Linked DNA regions of Macaca mulatta. The main gene of each other region encodes a partner of the protein of the gene in region 2 in a complex. Links are inferred from orthologs where the notes say so. Each region holds a gene or a part of one and is shown on either strand. Other genes may lie near its edges.

What was found.
Region 1: the proteins of RAD1 (region 2) and RHNO1 are in contact, whole or in part, in a crystal structure (PDB 6J8Y), measured with the Homo sapiens proteins. The link is inferred for Macaca mulatta from reciprocal best matches to the Homo sapiens genes RAD1 and RHNO1. Residues at the interface, in NP_002844.1 of Homo sapiens: Asn47, Gly48, Ile49, Lys50, Phe64, Ile65, Gln66, Ser149, Lys155, Ile157, Glu211, Ala212, Lys240, Val241, Ser242, Arg244, Gln254, Tyr255, Met256, Phe266, Glu268; in NP_001239428.1 of Homo sapiens: Ser55, Trp56, Val57, Ser58, Pro59, Asp60, Phe61, Asp62, Thr63.
Region 3: the proteins of RAD1 (region 2) and HUS1 are in contact, whole or in part, in a crystal structure (PDB 8GNN), measured with the Homo sapiens proteins. The link is inferred for Macaca mulatta from reciprocal best matches to the Homo sapiens genes RAD1 and HUS1. Residues at the interface, in NP_002844.1 of Homo sapiens: Asn85, Val88, Asp91, Cys92, Ser94, Ile95, Phe96, Gly97, Ser98, Gly127, Val128, Val129, Thr130, Val131, Cys132, Lys133, Ile134, Asn135, Gln137; in NP_004498.1 of Homo sapiens: Thr165, Ser168, Val169, Lys172, Met173, Asn175, Ile176, Glu197, Leu198, Val199, Cys200, Val201, Thr202, Thr203, His204, Phe205, Lys206.

The regions. Positions count from the first base shown.
Region 1 is NC_133416.1:3,773,122-3,777,207, reverse strand, and holds the start of RHNO1 (RAD9, HUS1, RAD1-interacting nuclear orphan protein 1), read right to left. Parts: upstream 2,888-4,086; 5' UTR 2,753-2,887; intron 2,353-2,752; exon of another isoform or gene 1,989-2,352; intron 1-1,988. UniProt on the Homo sapiens protein: Involved in microhomology-mediated end-joining (MMEJ) DNA repair by promoting recruitment of polymerase theta (POLQ) to DNA damage sites during mitosis.
Region 2 is NC_133411.1:35,974,068-35,978,374, forward strand, and holds the start of RAD1 (cell cycle checkpoint protein RAD1), read right to left. Parts: upstream 2,857-4,307; 5' UTR 2,753-2,856; intron 2,310-2,752; 5' UTR 2,230-2,309; coding exon 2,032-2,229; intron 901-2,031; coding exon 792-900; intron 1-791. UniProt on the Homo sapiens protein: Component of the 9-1-1 cell-cycle checkpoint response complex that plays a major role in DNA repair. The 9-1-1 complex is recruited to DNA lesion upon damage by the RAD17-replication factor C (RFC) clamp loader complex.
Region 3 is NC_133408.1:80,603,487-80,607,765, reverse strand, and holds the start of HUS1 (checkpoint protein HUS1), read right to left. Parts: upstream 2,897-4,279; 5' UTR 2,860-2,896; coding exon 2,808-2,859; intron 2,143-2,807; coding exon 2,015-2,142; intron 1,923-2,014; coding exon 1,746-1,922; intron 154-1,745; coding exon 46-153; intron 1-45. UniProt on the Homo sapiens protein: Component of the 9-1-1 cell-cycle checkpoint response complex that plays a major role in DNA repair. The 9-1-1 complex is recruited to DNA lesion upon damage by the RAD17-replication factor C (RFC) clamp loader complex.

The DNA.
Region 1 (4,086 bases), on a different chromosome or scaffold from region 2:
ATTCACGATCATTCCCTTGACAACCCCACCCCCACCTCTTGGCCAAAGTGATTATCTTCCAGGGCGCTTGGTCAGGGAATGGTGTCATTATTCCTTCAGCTATGCAGCCAAAAATCTTGACACTTCTATTTCCCATCCAACCCACCATCAAGCCCTGTCAACTTTACCTCTTAAACATGTTTTCGTAATGCCCCTTTTTCACGCTGTCTCCTTCTTTTTCTTCTCTCTCTCCCCGCCACCATTTTTCAAGCTCCAGCAGTTCTTGCCTGGAGTACTGCAATATCCAACTGTTCTGCCCTAATCCACTCTAGCAAACCCCGCTATAGACTGACCTTTTAAAATGCAGATCTGACCTGGGTTCACTTCTGCTTAAAGCTTATGATTGGCTTCCTTTAATTCTTGGATAAGCACAAAACTTCTCTGTATGGCTAAGGCCCCGCTTCCCCTGGCTCCAGCTTCAACTCACACCACACTCCATTCAGGTCAATTAGCTCAAACTCTTCAGATATTCCTTAGCCTTTGTACTCACTGTGCTTCCTCCTGCCATCCAGCCTTTGCACGCCTGATTCCCTCTGCTTAGCGCGGCTCCCTCCTTTCTTTGTAAAAGGCATCAGATCTCACACCAAGCTCTCATTAGAAAAGCCTTTCCTGTCCTACCTCTCAAGATCTTATTGTAAATACTCAAAGTATCATTAACCTCTCATGTTTCACTTTACAGCAATAATGCCACATTTGTTTGTTCGTTTTGAAGACGGTGTCTTCCTCTGTCACCCAGGCTGGAGTGCAGTGGTGTGATCACGGCTCACCATAGCCTCCACCCCTCGGCCTCAGGTCATCCTTCCACCTCAGCCTCCAGAGTAGCTGAGACTACAGGCATGCACCACCACGCGCGGCTAATTTTTAGTAGAGAAGTGGTTTCGCTATGTTGGCCAGGCTGGTCTCGAACTCGTGACCTCAAATGATCCACCCACCTCGGCCTCCTAAAGTGCTGGGATTACAGGCGTAAGCCACTATGCCCAGCCCACATTTGTTTATTTGATTCTTTTATTTTATTTTATTTTATTTTATTTTTTTAGAGACAGAGTCTCACTTTGTTGCCCAGGCTGGAGAGTGCAGCGGTGCAGTCTTGGCTCACTGCAACCTCCGCCTCCCAGGTTCCAGCAATTCTCCTGCCTCAGCCTCCCAAGTAACTGGGACTACAGGCATGTGCCGCCATGCCCGGCTAATTTTTTTTGTTATTAGTAGTAGAGATGGGGTTTCACCATGTTCGCCAGGTTGGTCTCGAACTCCTGACCTCAGGTGATCCGCCCGCCTCGGCCTCCCAGAGTGCTGGGATTACAGGCGTGAGCCACCGCGCCGGGACTATTTGATTCTTTTAAAATATCAGTGCCCCTCTTCCCCGATTGGACTGTGAGCCCGGGGGAAGGAAAGAACCTTGTCTGCCATTGTATCTTCAGGACCTGGCGGGACCTGGCACAGAGCAGGTGCTCAACTAGACTGGTTGACTAAGTAAATAAAGAAAGCACCACCGTCTACCATAGCCGAAGGCTTGGCTTTGGGAGGGGCCAAAGACAGGTCAGTACTTGAAGATTTCGCGCAGAGGTAGGGTTCGTGGGGCCGACATTTTTTTCAAGATGGAAGAAAGCTGAGATAATACACAGCCCTCAAAGAACCCTCAGTCTAATCGGGGGGAGCAGACGATCGTTCACTGTACGAAAACGGGGTACGATTTTCCCCAGGAAGGAAATCACCCGAAGCCGACCTTGGAAGAGGGGAGCAGAGCAGCCCGAGGGGAAGCGGGGGCGTGTCGCCCGGCGTGACTATGGCGGCAGGGAAAGCGGACCCAGGGACCCGGGCCTGTCGCGCCGCTTCCGCACGTCCCCAGACTGTCCCTCCGCTCGCCCACCCACGCGGCGGGGACCCCTCCGGCCCCTCCCAGGCCCCACGGCCACTTCTTCCCCCGCAAGCCGGCCCGCGGCCCGCCTTACCAGCCGGGGCCGGACTGGGCCGCAGCTCCTGTCAGACCGCACAGCCTTCGAGCCCGGAACGCCGAGACAAGGCCGGCGCCGATTGGCGACGTTCCGTCACGTGACCTTAACGCTCCGCCGGCGCCAATTTCAAACAGCGGAACAAACTGAAAGCTCCGGTGCCAGACCCCACCCCCGGCCCCGGCCCGGGACCCCCTCCCCTCCCGGGATCCCCCGGGGTTCCCACCCGGCCCGCACCGCCGGGGACCCGGCCGGTCCGGCGCGAGCCCCCGTCCGGGGGCCCTGGCTCGGCCCGCAGGTTGGAGGAGCCCGGAGCCCGCCTTCGGAGCCACGGCCCAACGGCGGCGGCGACTGCAGTCTGGAGGTGAGCGGGATACAGGAATGGAGTCCCGGGCCTGGCCTGGGCACAGGCGGGGAGCGAGGCCTCCGGGCGCGGAGGTCAGGGCGTCTGGCAGCAGGGCACGGGCCACGAGTGGAGGTTTGGGCCACACGGGAAGAATCTGAGCCCGGGTGCAAATGTTTTCTGCATCCAACCTCCTGGCCGGGGCCGTCTCATTACTTAAAGCGCCCCTTGGCCTTCCCTGGAAGTCTGACCTCTGCACGCTGCCCACGGCCTCGGGAGGGCTGGGGTGGCCTTTCTTAGGCCGGCTGCGGCTGAGATGAACACTGAGCACAATTGTACTACGTTGAGTCAAAGACCAACCTGCACACATACTCCCCTGCTCCCAGGCTCTCACCACTAGGCAGCACTGCCTCCGTCTTACCCATTTGCAGGGCCCTTCTCCTGGGTCCTGAGAATGTAGCAAGATTTCCCCGCTCAGGATGGAGATGGCTCAGAGGACCACTCTGGAAGTTTCCCGGGGAAGAAAGTGTTGGCAATAATAATATCAGGCTGGTCAGGAAGTAGAAGAAAAAATTAAGACCTAGATATCCTGTGGAAAAATAGGAATAATATCTACTGATCGATGCGGGGAGAGAGGGAAGCCTGGAAAGATCTGAAGTGAAAGTAAAACTGAGATTTGGAGGTAGAGGTGTGGCGGGCCTGTGAACTCTGCAGATGACAAATGTCAAAAAATTACAGTTGCTTTTCAGGGAGAGAATAAGTGTCCTAAAAAAGAGACAGCCAATTCCTCTGTCTCCCAAAGTTCCATGAAATAGAATTATACAATTTTGCTTAATGGTAGAGTATTCCATGTATCTATTAAAATCAACAAAAGGCTGGGTGCAGTGGCTCACGCCTGTAATCCCAGCACTTTGGGTGGCCGAGGCGGGTGGATCATCTGAGGAGTTCAAGACCAGCCTGGTAAACATGGTGAAACCCTGTTTCTACTAAAAATAAATAAATAGATAAAAATTAGCCCGGCGTGGTGGTGGCGCCTGTAATTGCAGCTACTCGGGAGGCTGAGGCAGAAGAATCGCTTCAACCCCGGAGGCAGAGGTTGCAGTGAGTTGAGATCGCGCCATTGCTCTTGCCTGGGTGACAAGAGCGAAACTTCCTCTCAAAAAAAAAAAAAAAAAAAAAAAAAAAATCAACAAAAGACTTAAAAAGAAAAAAAAAGACTATGCTGTTAGCATTTCAGAACCACCTTAGTGTATTGATGATAGCTCATTCTGGTAGTAAGGAGACAGGGGTTATAGTCTTATTTCTGGAAAAGAAATTAATAAAGTGGCATGCTTAGAAAGTTAAAATATGTATAACCACATGCAAGTACTAAAATGCCACTGTATAAATACAGTACGAATTGTAAAAGAACACATTCTTTTTAAATTATAGCAAGTATAATAGCCTGTGAAATAAATGTCACCCTCTAAAGTTGTTCATTGAACAAGCTGCACAGCTTTACATGGGCCTTCAATAGAGGTTTCCATTTTATGTGAGGTTTTGTAAACTGGGAGATGATTTTTCCAGTAGTGTGGCAATAGTACAATCTGCCTTTCTTCCCTGATTCTGTGTGCACTGGTCCTATTTACAAAGTAACATAAAAGTTAAAAGGCTTGGCCAGGTGACTTGCGGTGACTCATGCCTGTAATCCCAGCACTTTGGGAGGCCAAGCCAGGTGGATCACCTGAGTTCAAGACCAGCCTGAGCAACATGATG
Region 2 (4,307 bases):
AAAAAGATATACATTCTAAAGAAAATCATTTGGCAGCCGGGCACGGTGGCTTGTGCCTGTAATCCCAGCACTTCAGGAGTCTGAGGCGGGCAGATCACCTGAGGTCTGGAGTTTGAGACCAGCCTGGCTAACATGGTGAAATCTCATCTCTACTAAAAATACAAAAAAGTAGCCGGGCATGGTGGCACGTGCCTGTAATCCCAGCTACTTGGGAGGCTGAGGCAGGAGAAGCGCTTGAACCTGGGAGGCAGAGGTTGCAGTGAGCCGAGATTCTGCCATTGTACTCCAGCTTGGGCAACAAGTGAGAAACTCCGTCTCAAAAACACCAAAAAATCATTTATCAAAATAGACATAACTTATAAAATATAGCTTAAAAGAAACAAATTTTGAACACAGTAAACTAGGAGTCAGGAGAACTGGCTTTCGTTTTTCTCTGCCACTAACTAGCTGAGTAATTCTGGACAAGTTAGGGAAGAGAAGCAATTAAAACATTTCACAATGTTAAAGATATTAAAGACATGTCCAAAGTATTCTTTTGGCCAGTTCAAATTTAAAATCCCTCAAAGCCCTGTAAATTAAAAAAAGATGAATGTAAATACTTTTACAAATATGAAAGAACTATAAACATACTTGCAATTAACATTGTGAAATGTTAGAACCCATGACTGTGGCCACCGAAAAATGAATTGGCATTAGCTTTCTGAACAAATGTTTATATTCCAAATAACTTCCTGTATTTTTCTGACCACTGTATATAACACTTTTATGTCTTTATACTGATAATAGTTTACCTGGCATAGGACTTGATCCAAAAATAGACAAACAGTCTAAAAGGACAGTTAAATTAATTCGAAAAGTAACAGACTCTTCCTGAACTTTAAATTCCTGAAATATTCCAGCCTACGGAAAAAGTAAAAATGAAAATTGTTATGTAAAAGAATGAAAATATACAAGGTCCTAGATTTCACTTTATATGTTTAAAAAATACAATACTGTGCTAATCCCATGAGAATAATTTCTGATTAGCAATCAAAACATCTTAGAGACATCCTTTGAAGCATCCTTATATCCATTCCTGGATCTAAAACTATCCCTCTGGGACTCTCCCTTATCTCGTTTTTGTGCGTATCACTACTGCTAAGGTCACTTGGAAAACAGACGGATGACTTGATAATGCATGAGCAATATTAGTTACAACTTTTATTATTATTTTTTATTGATTCGGGGGTCTCACTACGGTTACTCAGGCTGGTCTTTAATGCCTGAGTTCAAGCGATCTTCGTGCCTCAGCCTCAGTCTCCTGAGCAGCTGGAAATACAGGTGTGAGCCACTATACCATGTTGCCGCACGAGGACGAGAACCATGTCTTATTTACCTCTCTATCCCTGAGGTCATGCTGTGCACTTACGTGTTAAAAAAAATGCTTAGTTGAATTTGCAATCCTATCTGAACCATACAAATATTACTTTGGAAGAACAAAAATTCTATTACAACCAGTAAAGGGAAAAAATACTCTTTAGTAACAGCAAGGTGGTAGTATCGCAGTGGTAAAAAGAGCAGATATTCTGGAAACAAATGTTCAGGGTTCTTATCCCAATTCAGCCACTTACCAGCTGTGGGACTGTTGGCAAATCACTTAAAATTGTGCCTCGTTTCCACATATATAAAACGGGAATAACAATAGAACCTGTCTTATAGGACTATTGTTAAAATTAAATAAGTTAAACACTAAGAAGACTGTAGCCTAGCCGATAGTCTAGTTTAATAAACTTTAGTCATTACTAACCATTATCTCTGTAAAACAAGATGGGAAAAGAATTTGTTACCGGGAGAGAAAAAAAAAATTCAAGTAATGACGTTTGTTCTCTAACGTAAGACTATTAAGTTATTTATCTATTATTTATTATGACTATTGACTATTAAGTTATTATGAGTATTAAGTTATTTATTATGTCTACTAAAACCTTCGGATTTCATTAAATTGCATTTAGAATATCTATGGCACAGGCTTAAAGGCGCCTACTTCCATACCTGAATAAAAGCATTTGCTTGCACACACTTTGCATTTTCCACTGTTACTTTGATACCATTTTTAGTTGCGAAACACGTGGCATGCTCTCGGAAATGAATAGCTTTCAAAATAGTGGAGAGATTCCTAACGTTGTCAAGGCTGGCCACAAGGCTGTACTGATCATCCTCATCTTGGATCTGCTGGGTCAGAAGGGGCATAGTCCACTGCGCATTCGGCCCGGAGGGAAATGCTCCTGGGGCCAACACCTGCTCCGCGAATCGCGAAACACCTGAAGGGACTGGACAATAAAACTCACATCAGTGCAGGCGAGGTCTGGCGAGCTCCACCTGCGCTGAGAGGTGGACGGGGGCTGGGCGGCTGAACTCAGCTGACCAGGCCGAACCCCACCTATGTCACTTAATTGTCTTTGTAATTTTGCGGGAAAATTAAGTTACTATTTCCTCGTCTCTGTAAGAGGACAATAACGTGAAAAGTTGTGAAGAATGAAGACACGCAACTGACACGGTATCTCCGCTTGGGGCCAGCTTCTCCCGGCCAAACAAACAGGAGCTATGAATCCGACCGCGGCACCAGCCTCGCTTCCAACAGAACAGGCGATGGAGGGGAGCGCCCAGAGTGTCCAGAAGATCCCCCAAGAGTCCCACACAAGCCCATTCACCAGCCCGCCCGCGGGACAGCATCGCTTATTAGTCTCGGGGTCCCCGAGTGCGGACACCCTACCTTTGCGGTGGGGTCTGGACGCCCGAGAGACCTTCCCAGGAAAGTCCCTGAGGAGGAGCTAGACAGCTCTGAGAAATCGCGTAGGAAGTGGAGCCGGTCCCGCCACTCTTCAGACCTGCCCTCCACTTCCGCCACCGTCACCACAGAGCTGAAGGAGGCCTAGAGAGCCGCGCGTGCAGCGCCACTGAGACCGGAAGGAGACACCGCAGACCTGGAGGACAACCGCGTAGCTGAGCGCTTAGAGCCACCGAACCATAGAGATCGGAAAGAGGAGCGAGAGGCAACGCCGGAAAACAGGCCAAGAGCGCAGGCAGTAAGGCAAGATGGCGGCAACCAAGAGGAAACGGCGTGGAGGCTTGGCAGTGCAGGCGAAGAAGCCAAAAAGAAACGAAAAAGATGCCGCGCCGCCAACTAAGCGGCACACCACCGCAGAGGAGGTGGAGGAAGAAGAGAGGGACCGGATCCCAGGCCCCGTTTGCAAGGTAGAAGGGGATGCCCCCGGGCTACACCGGCGGCGGCGGCTCTGTGCGCCTTTTCTTGGGTTACTTACTTGACTACAGCTCTGCTAATTTCAGAGTAGCCAGAGTGTTAACGGTAGGTCGATTTTAGCAATCCTCCCAGCCAGACTGGGCACCGAGTTTTCAGCTAATCCTTGTGCACGTGTCCGCCCTCCTGGAGGCGGCGGGTTTTAAAATCTTTACCCGGCCCACGGGAAAGCGACTTACAGGGTGCTCAGATCTAGCGTTTTGTCTTCGTAGTTGTTGAGTTGTTTTGTTTTGTTTTGTTTTTTAAATATTTTTGAAAAGTAGGGCTTTTCCTTGGCTATTTCTCGCTGTTGAGTATTTCTTCCAGTGATTAGTATGCCCATATACTGCCATAGTCAGCCACTCTCAGTCAGGGATCCTACAGTTTGTTAGGTGAGCCTTTAAAAAGTTGTTGCCCTTAGGACTGTGACTCTGATTTGTTAACCAGTTTTCAACTCAAGGGATAATGAAAAATAGGCTAGGTACTATGAGCTTTACTTGTATTCAACAGACATTGAATGTGCCATGCATTTGACCAAGTTAGGCATCCTTTGGGTTTGAGATTGCAAAGGTGACTAGCATGTGACCCCTTCCTCCTGAAATGTTGGAGTTTAGGAGGAAACTTAAGAATTCAAATAAGTTGATGGTTTTTATTCAAAAGAAGTGCACGTTAGTTGGAATTAGCTAGATTTCCTTCAACTGAGAACTCATCTTAAGCTAGACAGAATACTGTGAAGGCAAGGATTATCTTTGACATTAATTTCTGCGTCCTCCGCACTTAGCAGAGTAGTCTAGCACGCAGTAGGTGTTAAGTCAATGACCCCGTGTGGTGTGATGGCAAGCTCTAGGAAAGGAGTGTGAGCTCTGAGGAATAAAAGATAAGTGTAAATTCTAGCCCCGCTCTTTTCTGCGCTCTTTTCTGACCTGCAGATTGGGGCCGGGGAGGGGGGAGAGAATATTTACTTTTTATGAAAAATAAGCTGGGCTTGTACACTTCCAATAAATGTTAGTGTTCTCACTCTTCCCTTAAG
Region 3 (4,279 bases), on a different chromosome or scaffold from region 2:
GCCATTTAATGTGGGGTGTACAACAGGATTGCAGGCATCACCTACATCAGGATCTGGGACCACCGGTTCTTGCAAGTCCTTCCACAATTTCCTAGGAATCACCTTTATAGGGATGTCATGTGTCACAATGCGGCTACTGCTTGACATAGATAACTGCCAAGAAAAGAATTAATTTAAAAATATTTTTATGTTGTTAATATTAAGCAACAACAAAACCACCCAAAGACCCGAGGACAAAAAAGTTGAAATGCCAAATCTAAGTGGAATGCTGTCAATTTATTCACTGAAAAGCCATTCGACCAATATTGATGGTGCCAATATTTACGGAACAGACTCTGGGTACTTTCAGGAACTGGGAAGTGTGGTAAATAAGACAAAAAGGTCCTCAATATTCCAGTGGAACAAACAGATCAATAAAAATGCAAACAAATGAAATTGCATGACATGCTCATTAGAGTCGTGAGAAAGCAAACCACAGTGACCAGAGTGAGTGTGGGGGAGTTTCCTTAGACTGACGAGGTGACATTTCAGATACCACCAAAAGCAGCAGCCGTGGGAAGACAGGAACAAGGGGACAGGGCTTCAGGCTGGGGAAACAGCACATGTAAAGCCATGAGGCAGAAAGAAGCAAGCCTGCTATGTTGATGCAACCAAGAGAAGGCCACTCTTTGGGCATAGGACACTCAGGGGGCTGCAGTTTCTAAACAGTTAAAAGGCAAACTATATTTACTTCTAGGGGCTTCTATGAGACTCGCAGAACAAAATATCTTGCACTTTTGGACATAAAATATTATACGTTACTATCTTGCTTTTCCTTAATAGGAAAAACATAACAAACTTATGTTGTGACATGAAATACCCTAATTAGCTCTAAGAACTGCCTGACTGCAGAGTCGAGAGTTATGAAGAAAAGTTGGGTCGGGCGCGGTGGTTCATGCCTATAATCGCAGCACTTTGGGAGGCCTTTGAGAGGACGAGGTAGGTGGATCACTTGAGGTCAGGAGTTCAAGACCAGCCTGGCCAACATGGTGAAACCCCAACTCTACTAAAAAAATACAAAAATTAGCCGGGTGTGGTGGTGGGCGCCTGTAATCCCAGCTGCTTGGGAGGCTGAGGCATGAAAATCACTTGAACCTGGGAGGCGGAGGTTGCAGTGAGCCGAGATCGCACCACTGCACTCCAGCCTGGGTGACAAGAGAGAGACTCAGTCTCGGAAAAAAAAAGGAAATACGAACCTCATTCCATGAGTAACAAGAGCAACTCTGGGTTGTATGTGTGCGCATGAGGTTGTGTATTTGTGTGTTTGGAGGACAGCTGTGCACTAAATTCATCTGGCAGTAGCATATAAAACATATGTGTACTGAACAATGAGGGGCCATTTAAAGGTTATCAGAGCAGATGAGGCAGGGTAGGAGTGGGGAGAAAATGTGTCAACGGTGAAAATGCATAGAAACCATGATTTCTAGACAAGGTGACAATACCACTACAAGAAATAGAGAGGCTGGAAGTTTTATGGCTTGGAAAAAGCAGCAGTCTAGCCGAATGCATAGGATAACAACACTATTTTAAAATGAGGAGGAACTGACTCTAATGCAAAATATAGTTATGGACCAGCTCTTTAAATTTAAATAAACCAAATAGCTTTCAACAATATTTATTGCTAAAGAGGCTAGGCTAACTATGTCTATTCCTTCGAAGCCAAGACTTCTGTGGGAAATTTCTGAAACCCTGACTCTCCTACTCACCAGCTCCACGGAGACTGTGAGGCAGGGAAAGTGTTTATTAGTCAGTTTGATTTTCAAGGCTCTGGCATTCTGGGCAGTTTTCAAGGCTCGAGATAAGTTTTCCGATGTTAGCTCTAAATAAATCTCATTGTTTTCTGCAGAGACACCCTCCATTTGAAATTCGTTGAAGAAGTTCTCCTAAGGGAAAAACATGGGGGATGAGGCAGGGCACTTGTGGTCTTTCCAGAGACAATCTGCAGATTGCAGGCCTCTCAGAAGTTTTTGCTCACCTGTTCCAGCTCACACCACATGCTCACTCCTCCATTAGCCAGCTTGTCACAAAGGATGAAGTTAAGCTTATCAGGGCTGATGCGGAGGGTGCAGGTTTTGGCAAGCTTGGCTATCATGTTACTGATTCCTAAAGCAGGGGTTAAAATAAGGAATCACTAAAACGCACATCATGTATCCTAGAGACCAACTTATTTTACAGAATTTCTTGTTCATCATGGTGCAACTTCTCGGTGGAAAAATAACCACTTACATTGGTATCACACTGGAAAGTATGATGTCACGCAATTCTCCCAACAAACCCGGGGAGATGTACAGCATACATCATCAGTGCTCAAATAAAAAAACAGGCACCTACTAGTCATTCATTCATTTAACACGAACTTATTGACTACTGGGTACCGCAGTACAGAGTTCAATGCAAGGTTAGGCACTGTCAGGGTGGAGGGACGAATGGGGCCTTGAAGGAATGTCAATGCCTGATAAAGCCGTCTGTGGGAGCAGTGGCCGCTTGCTTTTAAAGCCGCGTGATCGGAATCAAGTTTCAGAAACGTCCCTTGAAAGCCGTCTTCACCCCAAGTGCCCTACGATCCGACCCGCGCACTCCCGGCCCATCATCCCGCGGCCTCCACCAGCACCCCTATGCCTGCCCCATCCTCCCGCGGCCCCTCCCGCGGCTCATCTCGCTGCCCCTTCCACCGCCCATCCCCGCTCTGATCTTCCTCCGCGGTCCCCACCGCGCGCTCACTGCTTCCTTCCGTTCCTCCCTCGCTCCCCTCCGGCCTCCCTGCTCACGTGTGAAGTGGTTCAGACAGGCCCCGTCCACGATCTTAGCCCGAAACCTCATGGCCGCGCCTGCCGCAGCCGCGACGGCTTCTGTGGGTAACAGATAAGTGTCGCGCCCTGAGTGTCCCGGCCCGGAAACACGGCGGCGCGCACAGTGGTTCCGCCCGGCTCGGGCTACCCGGCTCTTGCCAGGATTGCCTCCGGGCCACGCCCCTGGGGTGGTGGGGCCAGGGGTCACGCCCCAGAGAAGGTGGGGTCACGGGTCAAGGATCACAGGTCACGCCCCGAGGAGGTGGGGTCCCAGTCTCCGGGTATGCCTCGGCGCTCCGGGGTAATGTGGGATCTGCTTTTAGTGAGGCGGTGGCTTCAAGCCCCAGATTTGGGGAGGTGGTTCTGAGAATTCACGTTTTGAAAGAATTTTGTGACACCTACTCCAAGTGCTATTTAAAAATATCCAAATAAAATTAGTCGTTTATAAAGGTTAAACAATATTATCTTAAATATACCTCTCTAAGGTAGAGCAGCTTTAAACCCTCTAGCCTCCGATGACGGTACCGGTACTTTGGTATTGAAGCATCTTGGTTGATTAAGGTTCTGAAAACTGTTTTAAATGACTTTTTAAAAAATTTAACATATTACTGGCTAGTTGGTAAAGACGGGATGCTTAAAGAACACTGACGTTAAGTGGTAATTCTGCAGTTTGCCTCAAGATGAACTTTATTACATCCGATAAAATTCTTATTAGCATAAATAATGTCATTAGGTTTTTTTAAAAGGAAAGAAATTTTAAAGGGGGAAATGAAGCAACAATTGTATCTAATTTGGTTTTTCAAAGACTAAAGATTATCTATGTTAATTGTTATTTTTAATGCCCTCTGCAAATAGGAGCCTAGACCGTTGTCTTTAACTTGACATATAGAATCAAGACAATGCAGATGATGATGATGATGATGATGATTTTGAGACGGAGTCTGGCTCTGTTACCCAGGCTGGAGTGCAATGGCGTGATCTCCGACCTCTGCAACCTCCACTTCCTGGGTTCAAGGGATTCTCCTGCCTCAGCTTCCCGAGTAGTTGGGATTACAGGCACAAGCTACCAGGCAAGGTTAATTTTTTTTTTTTTTAGACGGAGTCTCCCTCTATTGCCCAGGCTGGAGTGCAGTGGTGCGATCTCGGCTATAATCCCAAAGTGCTGGGATTATGGGCATGAGCCACTGTGCCAGGCCTAGATTATTTTTAAAGACACATGCACACGTTATGTTTATTGTGGCACTATTCACAATAGCAAAGACTTGGAACCATCCCAAATGTCCATCAATAACAGACTGGATAAAGACAAGTTGGACATATACACCATGGAATACTATACAGCCATATAAAAGGATGAGTTCATGCCCTTTGCAGGGACATGGATGAGGTTGGAAACCATCATTCTCAGCAAAATATCACAAGGACAGAAAACCAAACATTGCATGTTCTCA